3 linked regions of the Pelodiscus sinensis genome follow. The protein of the gene in region 1 interacts with the protein of each later gene in a pairwise test. Links are inferred from orthologs where the notes say so. Each region holds a gene or a part of one and is shown on either strand. Other genes may lie near its edges.

Region 1 (7,574 bases):
TCCGTATAAGAAATCCCCTTTCTGTCTATGGGACTGCACCTCCCTCGGGACCCCATGCCTCCCTCTGTGCGTGGGGAATGCCTATTCCCCCCCCATAGGGAACTCCAGCTCCACAGACCCCAGGGCCCGCCCGCCTTCTCCACCGGGGACTCCCCCACCACAGGAGATCCTAATACCCCCTTCTCCACCGATGGGCCCAGGCTGCCCGGGAGGGGGGAGGGGACCCCATTACCGGCCGCCTCCAGCTTGACACCGTTCGCTGCTGCCGCCACCGTGCAGGGATCAACATGGAGCCGCCTCCTCCTCGACCCCCCCCGCCCGCGCCGCGGGGCCAGGATGGGATGGGCGGGGCTATCGCCAGGAGGGAGGGAGAAGGCAGAGAGCCGACCGTCCCCGAGAGGCATGCCGGGAAATGTAGTCCCTTTGCCATCCCATCTGGTACGAACCCATTTCAACGAACTATGGCGTCAGAGGACTACAAATTCCAGCAACCATCCGGGCGGGCGCCCTCGCTACACGGGGAGCCTCTCTTTGGGTAGCTCTATTGTCCAGGACTATGTCTCTCGGCAGCCTCCTTGGGAGAGTAACCGCGGACCTGGCTGCTCTGGGCCCCACGCCACCCAAAGCATTCTCAGAGCAGAGCCTGGGATAATGCCCAGGCTTGCGAGAGTAAGAGATAGTGGTTGGCTCCTGGGAGTCCAAGGCAGGAGCCCTGACTGATTACAGAGCACTGGCAGAGCTTTGCATATAGGGCTCTGTATGAATGGTGCATCTTCCACAAAGACAGATGAGCCCTGCCTGGCCCTTCCCTGCAACCTGTGCATTGCCTTTGCTCACAATGCTTCTAGCTGGGCTTTGCGCCTTTCTTCTAGCCAGTGCATTATCTTTGCCTGTACATGTGGCTTCTTCCCATAGCTCCATTCACTGCAGCTCTCTTGCAGCTATTCTAAACAGTTCCTTCAAATGCTGTAGTTAAACTTGCTTCCTGGCTTCTGAGGAAGAGTCCCAAGGTATGAGACTGAGTCCTGGAACTGACAGCAAAAAGGAAGGAACTTTGTGGGCTGGCTGTAGAAGAGGAGTCATGCACAGCAGGTGGGCAGGCCTTTACACATGTATTGTTGTTGTTATTAATGTATTCCAGTAGTACCTACAGGCCCCAACACAAGGTAGACTTGAACCTGGGATGTCTAAAGCTTAATATAGGAGCCTCTACCCTGTGAGCTAAAAGCCAGCTGACTTTTAGCCCATGCTGTAGAGCAGGCATGTCAAACTGGCATTTAGGGGGCTGCATGCAGCCTGATCGAAATTTTTTGCAGCCCCCCCACTACATTTTTATAAAAGAATGAAGTGCAGCCCACTGGCCGCTCAGAGCATGTGGCCAAGTGCCTGCTCACAGTTGGCCGGGACACTACGCTACAGCAACTTCTCACGGCGGGCTGGGCTGCACCACGCATGCACGTATGGCCGGCTGGCAACTCTGCACTGGGCTCTCCAGCATATTCAACATTTAAAAGTACTTAAATTTATATTTAAATTAAAAAATATGTAAAATTAATTTTAAAATTAATGAGCAAATAATTTTATACATCAAATTATTGCAATATTATAAAATAACTAAAACAATCTAGAATAATAAATAATTATGACTGTCAAAAGCCCTATGGTTGCCAGGTGTCCAGTATTTGTGCCTTCTGCCTGGCACCTAAAATGGGTTTGTTTGTTTTTCCTCAACCAATTTTTTTCTTTTTTGGTCAAACAATGTGGCCCTGAAAGCTATCAGTTTTCATTTACATCGAGTTTGACATGCCTGCTGTAGAGGCCTCGGCTACGTCTACACTGGCCCCTTTTTCGAAAGGGGCATGCTAATTTTAAACTTCGGAATAGGGAAATCCGCGGGGGATTTAAATATCCCCCGCGGGATTTAAATAAAGATGTCCGCCGCTTTTTTCCGGCTTGGGGAAAAGCCGGAAAAAAGCGTCTAGACTGGCCCGATCCTCCGGAATAAAGCCCTATTCCGGAGGAGCTCTTATTCCTACTTCGAAGTAGGAATAAGAGCTCCTCCGGAATAGGGCTTTATTCCGGAGGATCGGGCCAGTCTAGACGCTTTTTTCCGGCTTTTCCCCAAGCCGGAAAAAAGCGGCGGACATCTTTATTTAAATCCCGCGGGGGATATTTAAATCCCCAGCGGATTTCCCTATTCCGAAGTTTAAAATTAGCATGTCCCTTTCGAAAAAGGGGCCAGTGTAGACGTAGCCCTCTTGTTCTTATCTGTTGCTGTGGTCTAGGTGCCACTGCATGGAACAGTATACCACACTAGGGCTACGTCTACACTGGCCCCTTTTCCGGAAGGGGCATGTTAATTTCAACTATCGTAGTAGGAGGGAAATCCGCGGGGGATTTAAATATCCCCCGCGGCATTTAAATAAAAATGTCCGCCGCTTTTTTCCGGCTTTTAGAAAAGCCGGAAAAGAGCGTCTACACTGGCCCCGATCCTCCGGAAAAAGCGCCCTTTTCCGGAGGCTCTTATTCCTACTTTTCCGGAGGCTCTTATTCCTACTTTGAAGTAGGAATAAGAGCCTCCGGAAAAGGGCGCTTTTTCCGGAGGATCGGGGCCAATGTAGACGCTCTTTTCCGGCTTTTCTAAAAGCCGGAAAAAAGCGGCGGACATTTTTATTTAAATGCCGCGGGGGATATTTAAATCCCCCGCGGATTTCCCTCCTACTACGATAGTTGAAATTAACATGCCCCTTCCGGAAAAGGGGCCAGTGTAGATGAGCCCTAGGTCTGTGGGTTACACAACTTTTATTAATAACTCATTTTTTACAAAATGCCTAAAAGTTTCATCAGTTTCCAAGCAATTTTACTTGTGGCATCTGTGCTGCTAGCAGGGCTTACTCAGTGTTCAGTCAGTACTCACTTTAGTGTCCCTATGCAACACGATGGGGGTGGGGGAGGGCACTGTGCTGCAAAGTGAGTAACTCAGTAGGGGGCACTCTTCACTCACACGCCAGACTGGCCCCATGCTGCACGAGAGGGGGTTCAATAAGCAATGCTGTTTCTTAAACACAGTGTAGAAAGAAGCTGGTTGAAGAGCCCCCACATTTTATTACACTTTGCTTGGAAAAGAACCCAGGAGTCCTGATTCCCAGTTGTTCCCAACCTGACTAGAAGCCACTCCCTGTTCTGATCCTACCTCTTAGATAATGCTGCAGTATTCCTGTATGTGGAAACAAAGATTCCCTCCAATAGGCACTCAGGAAGAGAAACAGCTCTGATGGGAATACGTTTGAAAGCAAATATACATTAGCAACTGTTTAGTTTCTGCTGATACATCAGAAACGCCATATATTCAAATATCTGAACTACAGTCTCTTCCATTTTGCCCTAAAAGGCACGGACAATCTTGTCCTGTGAGGCATGCAATGATCCAATTGCTTAACCAGAGAACGGAAAGGTAAAATCACTCTGATAAGGAAACAAAAGATGTTATCTTAACTACACCAATAGACAGCAAAGCATAGATAGCTCCAACCAGAGCCACAGCAAATCCCTGGAATGAGTGCAGCTCTGGTGCAGCCATGCAGGGCTGTTGGCACATGTTGGATGCCAGCTTTTGGAGTCATGACTGCATCAAAAGCTCAGTTTCCATTTATAAAACAAAGGAAGTTTCCAGCTTCTGTGGTTGTGGAGAAAAGTTTGAAAGGATAATTCAGCTGTAACTAATGCTGCCTGCATCTGCAGAGAGCCTGAGGCAATAGCTCAAAGCACAGGGAGCTGCTACCATGACCTCGTACATGACCAAGGCAGCCATACCTGCCTGACAGTCACTCAGGGGAGCAACCCTGTACTCCTCAGTGGGGAGTTAAGTCCCAGCCCCATAGGTCTCGGGAAGGGCTGGTTTGAAAGGAAATGGATTTAAATGTCTTTTTGATTTGCGAGAAAAGAGAAAAAACAGCAAAAAGAGAGAATGGGAAAATAAAGAAAAGGAAAGTGACAAAAGGCAAACGGATGAAATAAGAAAGGGGAGGAGAGAAAATACGAGAAAGGCTGAAGGGGAATAAATGAAAGACAAATTCTCCTTTCCCATTAAACTCGAACCAAAGAATCAATTCAGCAGCCGCCCGGTCTCGACTCAGCAGGGCGTCACCCGCCCTAGTCTGGTTTTCTGGAGCCTAAAGCACATATGTTAATCGGATCTATTGCGCATGCGTAAAAGGGGAGCCCACTCCGCCCTTGCCCACATTTGGCGCATGCGTAATAAGCAACCTCAAACCCTAAAACTCAGAAGGCGTAGTGAATACCTGGCGTCCGTTGACGCCTGCGCGTTGCGAGCGCCTCTCTGTTCCAGTGGCTCACGCCTGGTGCTCAACCGTCCAGCCTCTAGCTACAAGCGCTTGCGCGGGGTACGCCTTCTTCTCGGCCCTCCCCCATGGCGCATGCGCAGTTGCTATCCTGCAATCCGTCCTAGCTAGGACAGCCGAGCTCGGTTGCGCGGTGTCAGTCTACTCGGTATCTTCCCGCCGTGAGGGACGGACGTTTAGTGCTAGGCTCCCGTTGCTGTCGCGAAGATGGCCGACCCCGCCACCCAGTCGCCGTATATCTCCTCCTCCGCCGGAGGGGGCTCCTCAGAGCCGGGTACCGCCCCGATGCCCGCGGGCGGCCGCGACTGTAAGGGAACCAGCTCCCAGTCCTGTGCCGGTAAGAGCCGGGGGGAGGGGCAGGGAACAGCCGGGCAGCGGGCTGGGGGCGACGAGTGGGAGGAACAGCCTGTGGAGTATCTGGGAACAGCTGGGGTGGGGGGAGGGGGAACAGCCGTGTGAGTGGTGGGCACAGCCCATGGTGCTTGCGAGGCACAGCCTGGTGACAGCTGGGGGGCGGGGAACGTGGGCACGGGAGTGTGGGGGGGGAGCCTGAGGGTGGGAGAAGGGAACAGCCGGCGGGGGCGGCGAAAGAGGGAAGTAACTGGGGGTGGAGGCTGGGCTAAAGGAGTGGGGGGGGGAGCTGGGAGCAGTTTGGGTTTGGCGCGTGAGTGGGGGCTGAGATTTTGAGTAAGGGGGACTTGGGCTGAAGGTTGGATCGAGGTTGGGGCATGGGAAGCTTTGCTACAGGCTTGCTATCACTGGGGGATAGTTAGGGGCTTTGAAGTGCAAGGGTGGCAGGAATTTGGCTCATGGGGAGAGAACTGTGGTGGGGTATAGACTCGGGCTAGGTAGGGTGGATTTTGTAAAGTAAAAGGTGTGATTTTTAGAGCAGGGTGAGTTTTGGTGGCTGGAAGAAGATTGAGGTGGGGGTCTCAGATTGGGGTGGTGAGGATTGCAGAATGTACTATGTTGCACTTTCTAGTTTCATTTTGACAGTGATGGTTCAAACTAAAAGGGGACTGGGTCAGGGAACAATGTCTGAATTGAAGGGAGGTGATAGAGCAGATTCCCTTTGCCTTAGTGGTGTTCACTCCCAGATCTTGCTGAGCCTCCCAGTCTGGGCTGACTTTTACCGTCTCTGTTTCTTAAGGCCCAAAACTGTAGGAATTATCAAAAATCAGGGGGTGTGCTGAGGAGAGCACAATACCCACTGGATCACCCCTCTGCAAGGGCTGGATGGGTGATGATGCAAGATGTACAGTGTATATATATACACACACCCTCCATTGTTCCAATACTAAACATGGCAGTGAGGAAATACCTTAATTCCTAGAAAAATCCCTTTCACCATCACAAACATTTCTCAGGGCAGGTGGAAGAGCGGTGGGGGACTGCTGGAAGCTTGCAGTGATCTGTGTTTTTGAGGGGGTGGTAGCAATTGCAAATGCTCCCTTTTGTTATGTTGCTGCTCAGTAATTGGAGTGGGGGTGGAGGGAGAGCATATTAAACAAAGCAGTATGTGGCTAAATCCCCCCTTCATTTAAGGGGAGCTGTCCAAAATAAGAGGCTGTGCTTTACTTCTCTTTATATCCCTGTCAGGCTCGGTGTTGGCAAGCTAGCTTCTCTTGCAAAGATCTGCACTGCAGATGCCTTCTTGGAGGGGGGGAAAAACTGGGCAGGTGACAGCTCTTAAAGGGGCAGCGCTTTTTATAACAGCCATAACAATGATAAACACAATTTCATCTTTTTCAACAAGCATCCAGAGCAAAAATGATTTGTTAGCTTTAAAAATTCATGGGTCTTCTGTTTTAACTTGTTTACCAAATTGCCTGTCTCCTGCGTGGGAATGTACCAGGCTGGCATGTTTTTCTCACTAAATAGAATTCATTTGGTTGAGAAGCTGATTTTCCGGGGTGGCTGTAGAAACTGCTCATCCCAGCACATGAGCTGTACAGCAGCTTCCATCTTTCGTCTTAAAGCCCAACACCCTTTTGAAGTGCCATACAAGCCTAATTTCAGAGATGAAATGGCTTTCCTACTTCTTAGCAGGACAGGTCTGTGTGGTTACATGCAAGCGAAGGAAGATGAGGCAGCATGCTTTCACACTTCAGCCTTACAGCATGCGAGTATAATGTATGCCTTTCTGGAACCTTGTGTCATGATGCTTTTCCACCCCCTCCTTGCAGATGTTTTAGTTTGTGCCAGAACTGGGGTGCAAAGGGAGGTTATTACTCAGCAATTTAGTGCTTTGCCTTCATCATTATTGGTTAATCCATCACCCTGTCTGCTCTGAAATGCAGCCCTTTCACCCAGTATTTGAGGACTGTTTATTCTCTGATTCACCACAATTGTTTGTGAATTACCTCAGCTATCCTAGAAATCAAACCTTTGTCCTCAAATTCTCCAGATAAGCTAGTGTTCTATAAATGTTGAGCCATCTTGACAGCTATTGGCACCGTGGTTTAACAGACAGTTTGTAATCAGAAGGCAAAAAGGGTTCAGAGTCATGTTTCTTCTAGAATCAGGTGTGGACTCTGTTCCCCAAGAAGATTAATTTATGCCCAGTGTCTGCCTGAAGCTCAGATTAAACATATGCAAGATGATATACCAAAATGATGTAATATGACTCACATGTAACAGTCATGTTTTCCGCTATTGGGGAAGTGGTGTCGTTTAGTGATTAGAACCTTGGTGTCCAACCAGTTCTGAAGCCATTATAGTGGCTACTGCTGTAGCGAACTAGCCACACTCAACCAGTCAAATAGCCACACGTGGCTAGTGGATAGCGTGTTGGACACTACAAGGTTAGAACATGGAATGAAGGTGGATGGGTGTCAAATCTTCAGTTCAGTTTACCCATCTGTATTCAGGAGAATTAAGCTAATTCAGTGCTTATTAATGTGTTAATAGTAAAAACATGGGTAGCCTGCAAAACACATTTTATCTGACTTTTTTTCTATGTCCCAAAACTAAATGTTTATTACAGCAGTTTGTATATCTTATCACAACTGTAGTATCTGAACTTGGTTTTGTTCTAGATACTGTTTGCACTGCATTTTTTTTATAAATTCCACTGCAAACAACATTTAAAAAAATCTTTGATGTCTTGATTTTTAAATAGCAACACTTCTGGAGATTAAAGCCATCTGTTTGCCCAGTGAACTGCTTATGCATAATGACTTGTGCCTCAGTTTGAGATGCTGCATAGTCATT
Region 2 (6,879 bases), on another chromosome or scaffold:
GGTGTCCCTATACTACATATTAAACATGGTTTTGTTGGACCTAGATTTGGTGTTCTTTGAGATTTCACATTGTATTGTCAAAATTAGGGTCCTACCAAATTCATAATTCACTTTGGTCGATTTCTCAGTCATAGGTTTTAAAAATGATAAATTTCATTATTTCAAAATCTGAAATTTTGCATTATTGTAATTGTAGGGGTCCTGACACAAAAAGGAGTTTTGTGGGGTCCCAATGTTATTTTATTGGGGTTGCAGTATTGTTATCCTTACTTCTGTGCAGCTGCTGGCAGCAGCACTGCCTTCAGAACTGGGCAGCTGGACTAGGTCTACACTGCGGAGCTATTTCGGGATACTAAAAGTATCCCAAAATAGCTATTTTGCATCTAGTGAAGCAGCCCATTACTTGTAAATAGATTTTGAAATAATGGGTGGCTTATTCTGACGTCCTGATAACCCTCGTTCTACAAGGATTAAGGGGAATTTTGAAATAAGCTATTTCGAGTTAAGGGCACAGTGTATATACACCCCTGAAGAGCAGTGGCTGCTGGCCAGAAATCCATCCCTGAAGGCATATCTACTGCCAGAAGCAGCGCAGAAATAACAGTGACATTATATGGTATTGCCACCCTTGTTCTTTTACAGCTACCCGCAGAGCTAGGTCCTTAGTCAGCAGTTGTCACTCTCTGGCACCCAGCTCTAAAATCAGCAAGGTTGCAGGAATTATAAATGAGGTCCTACCAGGTTTTGGAACATATAGAAAAACTTAACAACAAATCACCGGGACTGGATGGCATTTATCCAAGGGTTTTAAAAGAACTCAAATGGGAAACTGTACAACTATTATCTGTGGTTTGTAACCAATCCTTTAAATCGGCTTCTGTATCTAATTACTGGAAGATAACTAACGTGACACCAATATTTAAAAAGGGCTTTAGAGGCGATCCTGGCAATTACAGACTGGTAAGTCTAACTTCATTACCAGGTAAATTAGTCGAAACAATAGTAACGAATAAAATTGTCAGGCATGTAGAAGAAAATAAGTTGTTGGACAAAAGTCAACATGGTTTCTGTAAAGGGAAATCATGTCTTACTAATCTATTAGAGTTCTTTGAAGAAGTTAACAAACATGCAGACAAGGGGGATCCAACAGATATAGTATACTTAGGTTTTCAGAAAGCCTTTGACAAGGTCCCTCACCAAAGGCTCTTGTGTAAATTACATTGTCATGGGATAAGAGGGAAGGTCCTTTCATGGATTGAGAACTGGTTAAAAGACAGGAAACAAAGGGTAGGAATAAATGGTAAATTTTCAGAATGGAGAGGGGTAACTAGTGGCATCCCCCATAGGTCAGTCCTGGGACCTATCGTGTTCAACTTATTCATAAATTATCTGAAAAAAGGGGTAATCAGCGAGGTGGTAAAGTTGCTGATGATACTAAACTGTTTAAGATAGTCAAGACAGAAGCAGACTGTGAAGAACTTCAAAAAGATCTCACCAAACTGAGTGATTGAGCAACAAAATGGCAAATGAAATTTAATGTGGATAAGTGTAAAGTAATGCACGTTGGAAAAAAAACCCCCAAATATACGTACAGTATGATGGGGGCTAATTTGGCTACGATAAATCAGGAAAGAGATCTTGGAGTTACCGTGGATAGTTCTCTGAAAACTTCCACACAGTGTGCAGCGGCGGTCAAAAAGGCAAATAGGATGTAAGGAATTATTAAGAAAGGGATAGAAAATAAGACACAGAATATCTTACTACCCCTGTATAAAATTATGGTACGCCCACATCTTGAATACTGTGTACAGATGTGGTCTCCTCACTTCAAAAAAGATATTTTGGCCTTGGAAAGGGTTCAGAAAAGGGCAATTAAAATGATTAGGGGTTTGGAACGGGTCCCATATGAAGAGAGGCTAAAGCGACTTTTCAGTTTAGAAAAGAGGAGACTGAGGGGGGAATAGGATAGAGGTATATAAAATCATGAGTGGTGTGGAGAAGGCGAATAAAGAAAAATTATTTATTAGTTTCCATAATAGAAGAACTAGAGGACACCAAATGAAATTAATGGGTAGCAGGTTTAAAACTAATACAAGAAAGTTCTTCTTCACACAGCGCATAGTCAACCTGTGGAACTCCTTGCCAGAGGAGGCTGTGAAGGCTAGGACTATAACAGAGTTTAAAGAGAAGCTAGATAATTTTCTGGAGGTTAGGTTCATAAAAGGCTATTAGCCAGGGGATAGAAATGGTGTCCCTGGCTTCTGTTTGTCAGAGGCTAAAGATGGATGGCAGGAGACAAATGGCTTGATCATTGTCTTCGGTCCACCCCCTCTGGGGCACCTGGCGCTGGCCACTGTCAGCAGACAGACTTCTGGGCTAGATGTACCTTTGGTCTGACCCAGTACAGCCATTCTTATGTAATGCCACTGACCAGCATTAAAACCACCCCTCTCCAGTTACCCAGCTCCGAAGGCAGTGCAGAAGTAAAGGTGGAAATAACATGACCCTCCTAAAATAGCCTTATGAGTCCTCTGCAACATCATTTTAGGTCAGGACCCACAATTTGAGAAACACTGGTCTCCCGGGTAAAAGCATGGCTGTGAGTTTGGTAGGACCCTATTTATAATTCCTGCAACCAGCGGTCACAGAACCATACTGCACTATGCAGGCCTTCTGACTCAGGTCTGCTGCTTGTCCTGCATACGTACTACAACATAAGATTGTCACAAAGATTCGGACAAGATTTGACTTGAACCAGAGCCACAGCACAACTTGAACTCTAACACTTCCCCCTCCCTGACCCAGGATCCTAGGACTTGGATTATGAATGCTTGCTAATTTGAATCTAATTGTTATGTGTGTGGATGGAAGAGGGGCAGCATTTGGCCTGTCCACACTAGACAGCTTACAGCAGCACATCTGTACTGATGCAGCTGCACTGCTATAAAATCTCCTATGCAGCCACATAAGAAAGAGCTTTTGTGGGCATAACTGGACCACTCTCAAAAAGGGATGGGAGCTATATCAGCAGGAGAGCATCTATCAGCCTTGCCCGGGTGGGGGTCACACAGCCCATCCAACTGAGATGAGTTTTAAGAACAAAAGTATTAGTGTAGACATAGTGCAGTGCAGACATGCCCTGACATGCCTGCAGGACATCTATCAGTCACACACAGTGCAGAAAGGATTTCTTTCACAGGCCAGAGGTTAACACACTTCCTTTGAGAAGAGCAAGGAACAAAGCAGTGAATGCCCTTTCGCCTCGCACCTACTGCCCGAAATCTCCTGCTTTGGGTCTGGGGCGCAGGGTGGTCTGGCTACCGATGGTTTCCCTCCCAGTGCCAGCAGCTCCTCAGTGACGCGAGTGAGCCCAGCCCCCCGGTGCCGACCCCACGGACGGAGGACGCTGCGGCTCGGCGCGGCCTGGGTTACCTGCGGACGGGCAAACGCATCACTTCGAGCTACCCCTGCTCTGTCGCAACGCAACACACCACCGCGGCTCTCAACTTCCCTGCCCGCTCCCGCCGCTTCCTGTCGTCTCATTGCCCCAGCCACGCCTCCACCTTGTTTAAAGGGGCCGTTTGTAACGGGAGAAAACACCGAACGTCTTCCCCAAGGGCCACACTGGGGCAGGGGGAACAGCCGCACGCGGGGGGTGGGCGATCGCCTCCTTGCCCAAGCTGGGAGGAGGAACCGTTCCCGCTCGCAACAGAGGAGCTAGAGGGAAGAGCAGGTGACAGGTCAGACATAGACCAGCCTCCCCACTACTGCCTTCACCGAAGCGGAACCGCGGCTAAGCTTTTGGGCGGGCACTGGGGAAAAGATGGGGGGAGGGGTGAGAGGCCGTAATTAGGAGACACACATACAACCCACCTAAAATGGCCGTTCTTAACTTTTGAATCAAGGGTGGCGGCCCTGCCCCCTCTCACTAGACTACAATTCCCAAGTTCCACCCCCCCCCCATTCCCAGCCTCCCAGGATGCATCACACCATCACGCTTCCTGCCCCTCCCTCCAGACTACAATTCCCAGCAAGCAATGCGCTCCCCCTGCCAAGTGGGGTTGGGGGGAGTTGGTAAATAGTGGCAGAGAGCGAGTTCCTAGAGTAAGATGGCGGCGGCAGCGGTAGCTGCGGTGGCGCTTTGAGTGGCAGTGGACACTACCCCTCGCGCTGTGGCTCTTACTGTGGGTCGGGGCAGCGGCGCTGCACTGAGGGCAGAGGCGAGGAGTCGAGTATCGGAGCTGCGGCCCCGGCAGCTGCAAAGAGGCCAGGCGCGGGTAGCGCCACCCCGGGAGCCGAGAGGTGTCGCCCAGGTAGAGCCCCCCCGGCCGTCGCTCCCGTCCCCAAGGCAGGAGGAGGCTGCTGTGGGCGGGGGCCGCTCGCTGTTTCCCTGCTCGACGGTGGCTGCAGGCGGCGCCTCCATGTCGGACAACCAGAGCTGGAATTCCTCCGGCTCCGAGGAGGATCCCGAAACCGAGTCCGGGCCGCCTGTTGAGCTCTGCGGGGTCCTCAGCAAGGTGAGCAACAGCAGCCCCTTTCCTCGGGGGGACTCGGAGTCTGCTCTTTCCCCGGGCGGCTGGGGCCGCGCGCACCCCCGCGCTACCCTGCAGAATTGGGCTAGGCTCCCGTCTCGCTGGCAGTTACCCGTGTGGAGGGGCAGCCCCGCACCCCTTCGCCCACCCCGCGGAGACACGGGGCTGGCTTGGCTGGGGCAGCGGCCACCTGACCTAAGAAAGCCTGAAAATGAGTCATTCCCCGGCAAACACCCACTCCCAGACCGCGGGCGGGGCTGTAACGGCCCACACATCCCGCGAGGGCGTCCCCTCCGGCCCTCCCTGCTGCCAGCGCAGCCCCCGCAGTTCTCCATCTCTCTCCTGCCGCTGTCAGTGCTCTCCTTCCCGTAAGCTAGGCGAGGCGGGGAGCCCCGCGGACAGGGTGTGCAGACTGTCTTAAAATCCATCCTGCAGACCGATGGGGGGTGCTCTCATAGTCCCCTTTCCCTTCTTAAATGGGTAGGCGTACTCTGCATGAATGAGTGTTCCCTTGTCTCCTCTTTCTTGATCCCCCAACTTGGCACCCCATCCCCTGACTCACCCTCCGCAAGCGTACATTTTGGGACCGCAGGCTTGTAACTAGACTGATGTAGAAGGTGAGCAGGGGCAGTGAGGGCATCTCTATTCATCAGGTTTTTGTCTGGAACCTGGCAATCCTATCCTAGCTAGTGTGCGTTACAAGCTAGTTTGGAAGGATAGCTGTGATGACTAGGATTGGACTCCAGCACTGAATCTGTATAGGGAGGAGAGAGAGTTCTTGGGGGTCACGAAGGAAACACTTTTTTTTCTTGCGAAGACTTTTTGCAGGAAATAGCAGCATGTGATGTGCCCTTACAAATCACTTCTAATCAATAGGAATACGTCAAAGAGGAGTGGCATGGCCTTTAATCCCGGCATTAAAACAGTGTAATAAAATACCCTTGCAGCAAGAGAACGGAGTAAAGAGGTGAAAAAGGAAAAATTGTATGGATTATTGCTTTTAAAAATTGTGGTGCTTATGCTTATCTGTGTAGGAATTAAATCTATTTTTACTCTTTTATTGCTGTGAATTTGATAAAAATGAATTGTGAGATATCGGGTTAGGGAATTAAGTTTTAAATAATGTTTTAAAGACTAAATGTTTTAATTGAACAATTTCAGTAGAAGAAAGTAGCTTCTCAATATATACTTAATGCCAAGAGAATTTAAATATTTTTGCATATCTCTCTATATTCAGAGGGGTTAAGGCAGAACTGAGTGGATGGGTCATGGGATATGGAGATCATGAGCAGCTCTGGATCATGAGTAGGGAAAACATGTGGGCTATATCCAGCCCTTCAGGGCTTTTAATCTGGCTTTCAGGATTATCAGTCTGGCAGTGCCGTGGGACTAAGGCAGGCTACTCCTGCCTTGGCCTGTGTCACTCCACAGAAGTGTTCGGCATATCCCTGCAACCCCATGGGCTTGGGGGTTCTACATGCTGTCCTCATCAGCAGGCACCATTCCCCCAGCTCCCATTGGCCAGGAATGGGGAACCATGGTTTATAGCTGTTGTGGAGACAGTGACAGCAGGCAAGGGTAGCTCATGGGGCCACCCGTTTTCCGCCCCCTCCCCCCAGGAGCCAACTACCTTAGGAGCAGAATGGGGCCAGGACAGGGTGGGAGCCTGCTTTGGCACTGCTGACCAGGAACTGCCCAAAGTAAGTGGTGCTTGGCTGGAGCCTGCACCTTTAGCCCTCTATTTCAGTCCCTGTCCTGAACTCCTGTCCTGAGCCCCCATCCCTGACCTAGCCTTACATTTATGGCCCACCATACAATTTCCCTAGAGCCTCAAAGTTTGCCCAGTACTTGATACTGAAAAAGTTATGTTACTATGTTTTTGTGAGGGAGTGAGACTCTGTTTATGAACTCTCCAATTAAAAAATATTTCTAAGATCATAGATGAGAGAAGTGCTGAGGAGAGGAAGCAGGCCTTGGCACTGATCTTCAGGATTTCATGTTTGATGCTGTGGAGGGGACAGGAAATATGTTTTTACATGATTCGGCTCAGAAATGTTGGGTTTATTACCCAAGATTTCTGCAACGTTATCTCCCTATTAGATGATTCAGATCATTAAGTAGAAAATCTGGTATTTGTTTCTAGTAGTATGCCATCAGTTTTAATATTGGCAAATGAAATGAATAAGAATTATATTCTAGGTCCTAATGATAAATTATCACGTATGTTAAATCCTAAAGAATTTCCCATACAAATGTGTCATCTTATAAATGCACTGTGTGCAATCTTTAGAGATATGTATGTAGTGCTTATACTCATATGATAGCTGTTGCCTTTACTGTTAGCGTC
Region 3 (7,077 bases), on another chromosome or scaffold:
GGTGCCTCAGTTTCCCTAGCTGTAAAATGGTGATCATAATTCACACTTCACAGGGGTGTTTGGAGGATTGATTTATTAAAGACACGTTGAAAATATAAAGCAAAGAATATCTTTCTTAAAAAAAAAAAATCCAGGCCCCCTTTTCTGACTGTTTAAAACCTAGCAGTCACGTTTTACCCTGATCTCACACAGAAGCCAGCTGTTAAGGGTGACTTGATATTGTAATGACCAGTGGTTCTGCAATGAATGCCTATGCAGACCCAGGGACTTGACTTCAGTGGGACTCAGCACAGGAGTCTGCTTGTCCGGAGCTCACCTCGCTTTATTTGCACTGAAACCAGAACCTGGTGGAGCCATGGATGTTTTACAGCTCCAAATCAAGCAGAATCAGCCTGTCTATAACAGACGCTGCAGTTGCCTTCCCCAAAATCAGCAGATACTTTTCTTGGCCAGACCGAGGACTACTCTGGACTGCTCAGAGGACACCAGTCTAAGCCTGGGCAGAAAGGGAGGCGTTGCTGTGAGTCCATGAGGGTAGCAGAGACGAGTGGGGACAAGGACAGGAGAGAAGGGAAGGGGAGAGAGCCAGGCCCTGCAGGAAGCAGCTGCGGGCACAGAAGAGTTAATGCTACAGACTATAAAAGAGTTCTCATCTTTAAAGAGCACAGGGGCATGGGAAAATCAGGGCTGGCTTGAATCAGCAGCCTGAGCCATACACACCAGCTTTCCGCTCCATAACCAGGATGAGGTTAACACTCCCCCAACCCCTGATAAAATTCACAGCAGTCCCTATATTTATAAGTATGCAACATCCTCCTGCAGTGACGCAACCCAGTGACAAGAAGATGTGAACGTCACAGGGAGGAATGGGGCGTGGGAAGCAACAAATCTTAAAATCCAGCCTTGGCGAGAGCGAAATGAAGAGGGCAAAACAGGAAAAGAGGGTGGCTGCAGTTTAAAATGGGGGAGGGGATAATCCCGGTTATCTCCTCCTACTTCCACTGCACATTTTGTGGGGGGATAGCAGGGCACATGTCAGGAGTGTCCAGTAAGGTGCACAGCACTCACGGCAAGGTGGACAGCCCCATTTCCTGGATGGGGAAACTGAGGCCCAAAGGCAAAGCCACTCCCTCCCAAGGTCACACACGGAAGCAGGTCCAGGAAGAGATACCAGCGGTCCCCTGAGCACAAGCTGCTCTCCGAGATCTCTCGGGAGCTGATGGGGACAGGAGGCAGAGCCTGCTGATGAGCAGCAGGCCCAGGAGCAGCTAGGGTCACGCAGACTGGGGGGCGGGGGGGACTGTTTTCGCCCGCCCGCCTCGCTCCCTAGATCATTTCGGGAAGGAACACGGGGGACTTCACTGCACAATCTTCAGTGTCACGTCACCGCCCCACTCGGAAAAATAAAAAGGGCCGCGATGACTGGGGGGGGGGGGCAAAGGGGCGCAGATGTGAGACCTCAGGAACACCCCAGGCCTGCCCCCCCGCCGGGCTCGAGACTGAGGCCCCCACATGTGGTTGGGGGTTGAAACCTCCTATGGCAGCTCCTGCCGGGGAGGAAGGGGGGCTAGCCCCCCATGTCCCTTGCACGCTCCGTGCTCCGCGGGGCGTCCCGCCTGTTTCTGCCTCAGGCCCCGGGGCGGCGGCTGACACCGGAACAAGGGAGGTGATTCCCCCCAGCTGTTCGTTCGGGGCGGGGCTGCGCCCCCTGCGGGGAGCCCGATGGGGCGGGCGCGCGGGGGGGGTCCCTATGGGGCCCAGCCGGAGACTAGGCCGCAGCGCCCCCAGCCCATCTCCTGCCCGCTCCGCATCGAGGTGACCCCCCATTTCTCCGGGATAATGGCCCAGCGCCGCGGCGGCCCCCCCGGAAAGGAGAAGAGGCCAGGCTCTAGGGGGTCCCCCAATGGCCCTTCCCAATCGGAGGGGCCGGGAGCGCCCCCAGTTCAAGGCGGGGGGCAGAATAAGGGGGAAGATCACGAAAATGGGGGGCAGGGGGCCCCGATCCAGCCCTTCCTCCCAAAGCCCCCTCTGCACTGAGCCCCCGGAGGAAGCACCGGGGGTGGGTGGCAGTGTGAGGCGCCCCCCTTCCTGCCTGGGCCCCAGTTCAGACCGGCCAGCCCCTCGGTGGGGCGCCCGGGGGAGGGGGGCCCGGCGTTACCTGCTCCTCCTCCGGGCTCAGCTCTGCGGCCATCCTGCTGCCGCAGCTCCTCCCGCCTGCACACTGCTCCGGAGGCGGCTGCTTCGCTTCTGCGGAGTTTTTAAACCGGGGCTTCCAACCATCGACCAGCCTGAGTCAGCCCCGCAAGCCGGCCCCTGCCCCGCTCCTCCTGCCCACACCCCGCCGGGGCAGCGGCCTCCCGCGCCGCCCGGGGCCCCGCACACGCCCCGCTCAACTGGGGACGCGGCTTCCGAGCGCCCGGCGAGCGCCCATTAGCCGCCCTCGCAGCCGAGCGACACGCTTGGAGGGGGCAAGGCGGCCGAGCGATCCCTGCCCCCGCAGGCCGGGTGTGACTTGGAAGTTCAGTTTTGTCCCCTCTGAACCGGCCCCGATTCTTCTGGCTCCTTCGCAAACTCCGGGCTCCCTCCGGTCCCCCTCGCGGCTTTCTGCAGGCTACAGAAAATCGCACGCCCAAGAAGGGGGGGAAACACCCCGCTGTCCTGGAAGTTTCATCCCCCCCAGATCGGCTCGCAATCTCTCCCGGCTATGGCTTCAGCCGCCTCCGTTTTTCTTCTCTGCCTTTGCAAGATCCCCCTGCCCTTGCTTCCTGCACAGAGTTCGCCTGAGACCATCAAATCCCTGGCTTCAGCTGTATTTTCCTTTTAGAGAATGAAACTCCTTCCTGCAGCCTCCATCTCTCGCCTGTCTGCCTCGCAGCCCTTATTCCTCAAAAGCAGCGGAGAGGAAGGAAGGAAAGACACCCCGCCCCCCCTCCTCTCATGGCCAATGCTGCTTCCCCTGCTGAGCCAGCCAGAGCCCCCAGCAACTCCATTCAGAAACTGAATCTCATTCACAACAGCAGAGGACAGCCAGGGAGAGGGCTCTCACCCAGGGAGGGAGAGAGTTCTGCATAAGCCGAGGGGGGGGGGGGGGGGGGGAGGCTGAAAGAGGCATTCGTCCAAAGGAAGGAGAGAGAAACAGGAAACTATCCAGGGCAAGGGAGACAGAGGCAGGGCAGCAAACAAGGGAAAGAAAGAGGAATCTAGACAAGGGAGGGACAGCCACATCCAACAGAAAATATTGAGTCATCCCGGTTTAAGAGAATATTAGAGTCATCCTGCTGTTCTGTACCTGCAAACAGGCCCTTAGATCCCGAATTCCCGTAATTCAGTGGAGGCGTGAATCCTTTCCACACCTCCAAGTCTACCCAGAACATTATGGCTAGATAAAAACCTAGCATGGTTGCCCCCCACCTTTGTTCTTGTATGTGTTGTCACGTGCCTGGCGCACTGTGGGCACAGCTGTTTGCAAGAGCTAGCCCATGCATTCTAAGGCCACGAACACAGTCAGGGCCCTTGCAGGTCAATGGCAGCAAGATCTTCCTGAGGGGATCCAGTGGCAGGACTGGGACCCTGATAACAAGCAAAGATGGGCAGGAGGGGACTGTAACAGGATGCTTCAGTGATGAGCGCACGATAAGAATTTATAGTGAAGAGAACAAAAGACAAGTGTGCCTGGGGGGTACATTTGGCACCTCTTACCATTACAGACGCTTTCTTCAAGTAACCCCGGGGAGCAGAGGCGACTGGCGTAGGGCTGACAGGTCTCCTTGCCCTTCTCTGCCCAAGTCTTTTTTAATAAAGATATTCCCACTCTTGTTACTCCTGTGCAACTCTGTCTCAGCATTAGCCACTGCCGACAGACAGGATACTGGGCTACAAGGACCTTTGGTCTGACCCTGTATGGCCGTTCTTATGCGGGTTAAACAACAGTCCAGTAGCCACTGGTATTTTAAGTACCTTTTTGACTAAGCCAGAGCAAGTCTATGTGACAGGGTGGTTAAAATGGTAGCAGCTGCTGGAACCTTATCTACACTAGAGCACCCACCTTTCCTGCCACCCCAGGAGCTGAACAGATGTGTAAAAGTGCCTTTTGAGGAGGAGAGAATGGAAGGTCATGTCGTGAGAAACTAAAGAACTGCTGATCAGGAAAAATTCATGCAGGGCCCAAAGAGCTGGCTCATTTGATCTCAACTTCAGATCCCTGCTTTGTGGCTGTTTCCTGTAATCCGATCTAGATTTAACTAAAGTTTTAAAAGTAAAACTCCCTTTCTGTTTTCCTCATGTCCAAATTCTCCTCCAAAACGTACTGTCTTCTTTTTTCGAATGCCTTGCTGTGCACTCCAATACATTCCCATAGAGATAGGATTAGGGCAGATGACAGCAGTTCAAGATTTGACATGGCCCAGAGTCTGAGATCTGTGTCACATCCCTGCGAGATCACCCCGCCCCAGAGAGCTTCCACTATATTCAACTGCTATCAACTCCCACTCTGGTGTCTGGTCATTATGGAGACAATACTAATAGATAAACTATCTTATCCTTAAAAAGTATTGTGCTTATAAGAGCTTAGCTTTAGTTCTTTCCCATTGTTTACATTTATCTCTTCCCCTTTTCTATCACCCATGGTCCATTATCTTTACTTACTTTGTAAACTCTTTGGAGGCAGGGACCATCTTTTTGTTCTGTTTGTACAGCACCTAGCACAATGGAGTCTAATCCATGACTAAGGCTCCTGTGAGCTCTGACTGTACCAGTAAATAACACCTGCCTTGGGTGTTCAACTTCACAGAGCAGGGGCCTTGTCTTCTAAGTGTACAGTGCCTTGCCTACCGGTAGCCCTTAATTCATACTGTATACTACACTGATCTCTCCGGCACTAGAGATGCACCTGGCCAATTCCCTGACAGACCAGGATCCATAAAAGCTGTGGTCAGAGTTCAAACCATCCCCCTCACTGGAGCATGTTCTGATGGGAAGTGGTCACTGTTGTTATATATGAAATAAAAAGAAAAATTTACCTATTTGATTTCTATTTGATGGAGAGAAGCAAAGATCCACCTGGCTGGTTCACTTACACTGTGCTGCCGCACGGCTATGCACAAACAATATTCATCTCTAGAACGAGAGCGAGATGATGGATTCCCTTGGAGCGGAACCAGATCAGTAGTGAACTAGCTCAGCAACTGCAATTTTTTCCGTACCATTTCACCACGTCAGCCAGACAAGTTTCAGGTGCCATTTCCAGGGAAAGGATGGGTGCTCACCACCACTCCCCCGTATCCATGAACTAGTTCTACTTCCACCTCTACCAGTGGCATTTCAAAGTCTGGGTGGGCGGTTCCACTGACACAGCTGAACAGCAGCTGCTGCTAGTGGGGAGTGGAGCAACCTGGTGCTCCAGGGTTTTTAAAAAATGCTCCCAGGGCTTTGATCCAGAGCTCTTCAGGCCACAGGTGCTGCACACTGCCTCTGGGAGCATGTTTGGTTACTGCAGCAGGGCCTGCTGGTTCAGAAAGCTGGATCCCAACCAGTCTCAGTGGCGGGGGGAGGAGGGGAACATTTTGTTCTGCTGACAAGGGCTGCCCTGGCAACTTGCCTGCAACTGGAGAGTTTGTATTTAACTTGCAAGAAAATGGAGCAGAGTGCAGCTATCTCTATCTTTTCCATGGAGGCTGAAAATCCAGCTGGCTTATGGGGCTTTGAGGTGGGCTGTGAGCATAGGCCATATCTCCACACTAAAGGTGACCACACCTCTAGAAACCACCGGCCACGTTTGAGCTACTTTGTTCTATTGGGGGTTAGCAGTGAGTCCTTACAAGCTATCCCTATGCCCCCACCTATATGCTTGTACTGCCTCAGCAGGCTCCTGGCAGAGATTTACATGTCACTTGTGCATACAAGGAGCTGCAGGAGGGTGGTGTGCGCCCCAGGATCAGCATCGCCCCTAAAACTCTGAGCTATGGAACCAGAATGCTTTGCAGCCAGCCACTTTTGCTTAACAATTTCTCTCCCACCCCTTTCATTTTCTGCTCAGATTTATTCCTGGAGTCTGCTAATATTTTAAAGCAGAATCATGCAGCTGTATCTGCAAGAGATCCTTTACAATATAGAATGAAAGCTTCAGTTTCCCCCTGCTAGTAGAGGAAAAAGCCCCTTTCTTCCTACTGTATTTGACTCCCCTCTTTGCTGGACAGCCTTGGAAAGCTCTGTGAAGGAAGTATACAGACAGAAACCAGAGCGGCAGCTTTCCCTGAAGCAAGAGGCCAAGGATGCTTAGGCTTAGATTTGGATTCCTGGAGGATTAATTAAATTAGTGCTTTATTGCATCTGAAAAGTGCCCTGATTAGGGGCCCAGGCTTCCAAGGGGAATCCTGCATCAATTTCCTCCAAGCAGTTTAATTTTGACTTCAAAATCTGAGATTTGCAGAGCGCTACAGCAATATTTGTCATTTTACAAGATGAACCTGTCACTGGTTTAGGTCTTACAACACTTACTCCCTAACATACCATCTCCATCCCTCACTGAGCATAACTGTCAATATAACATAATAAAGAGTTCAAACCTGTGGGGAAGTGGGATATGGGGAAGAAACACGGAGGAAGGAGCAACAAAGGAGGACCCCTGATTCAAATGGAGAAGGTAGGGCAATCAACTGGTTATCTAAGGTGTATCTAAGGGTATCTACATGAATAGGAAACAGACAGAAAGAATTAGAAGCCCTGGCCCAGTCAAAGAACTGTGATTTGACTGGAATAATGGAGACTTGGTGGGATGACTCACATGACTGGAGCACCGCCATGGAAGGGTATAAACTGTTCAGGAAGAACAGGCGGGGGAGAAAAGGAGGAGGGGTTGCACTGTATGTAAGAGAGCAGTATGATTGCTCAGAGCTCCAGTAGATAGAGGAAGAAAAGCCTGAGAGTCTATGGGTTAAGTTTAGAGACAGAAGCAACAGGGGTGATGTTGTGGTAGGTGTCTGCTATATTCCACCGGATCAGGTGGATGAGGTAGACAAGGCTTTCTTCAGACAACTGAGAGAAGCTTCCAGATCACAGGCCCTGGTTCTCCTGGGGGAC

Evidence for each region. The genes of interacting proteins can lie anywhere in the genome.
Region 2: the proteins of RTN3 (region 1) and CERT1 interact in binary tests that used the Homo sapiens proteins (3 or more experiments, as listed by UniProt). The link is inferred for Pelodiscus sinensis from reciprocal best matches to the Homo sapiens genes RTN3 and CERT1.
Region 3: the proteins of RTN3 (region 1) and PTPN9 interact in binary tests that used the Homo sapiens proteins (3 or more experiments, as listed by UniProt). The two-hybrid records come from large-scale screens. The link is inferred for Pelodiscus sinensis from reciprocal best matches to the Homo sapiens genes RTN3 and PTPN9.

Annotation. Positions count from the first base shown.
Region 1 is NC_134721.1:33,994,048-34,001,621, reverse strand, and holds the start of RTN3 (reticulon-3), read left to right. Parts: upstream 1-4,566; 5' UTR 4,567-4,568; coding exon 4,569-4,698; intron 4,699-7,574. UniProt on the Homo sapiens protein: May be involved in membrane trafficking in the early secretory pathway. Inhibits BACE1 activity and amyloid precursor protein processing. May induce caspase-8 cascade and apoptosis.
Region 2 is NC_134716.1:84,591,289-84,598,167, reverse strand, and holds the start of CERT1 (ceramide transfer protein), read left to right. Parts: upstream 1-3,867; 5' UTR 3,868-4,421; coding exon 4,422-4,517; intron 4,518-6,879. UniProt on the Homo sapiens protein: Shelters ceramides and diacylglycerol lipids inside its START domain and mediates the intracellular trafficking of ceramides and diacylglycerol lipids in a non-vesicular manner.
Region 3 is NC_134724.1:34,422,647-34,429,723, reverse strand, and holds the start of PTPN9 (tyrosine-protein phosphatase non-receptor type 9), read right to left. Parts: upstream 3,013-7,077; 5' UTR 2,192-3,012; coding exon 2,159-2,191; intron 1-2,158. UniProt on the Homo sapiens protein: Protein-tyrosine phosphatase that could participate in the transfer of hydrophobic ligands or in functions of the Golgi apparatus.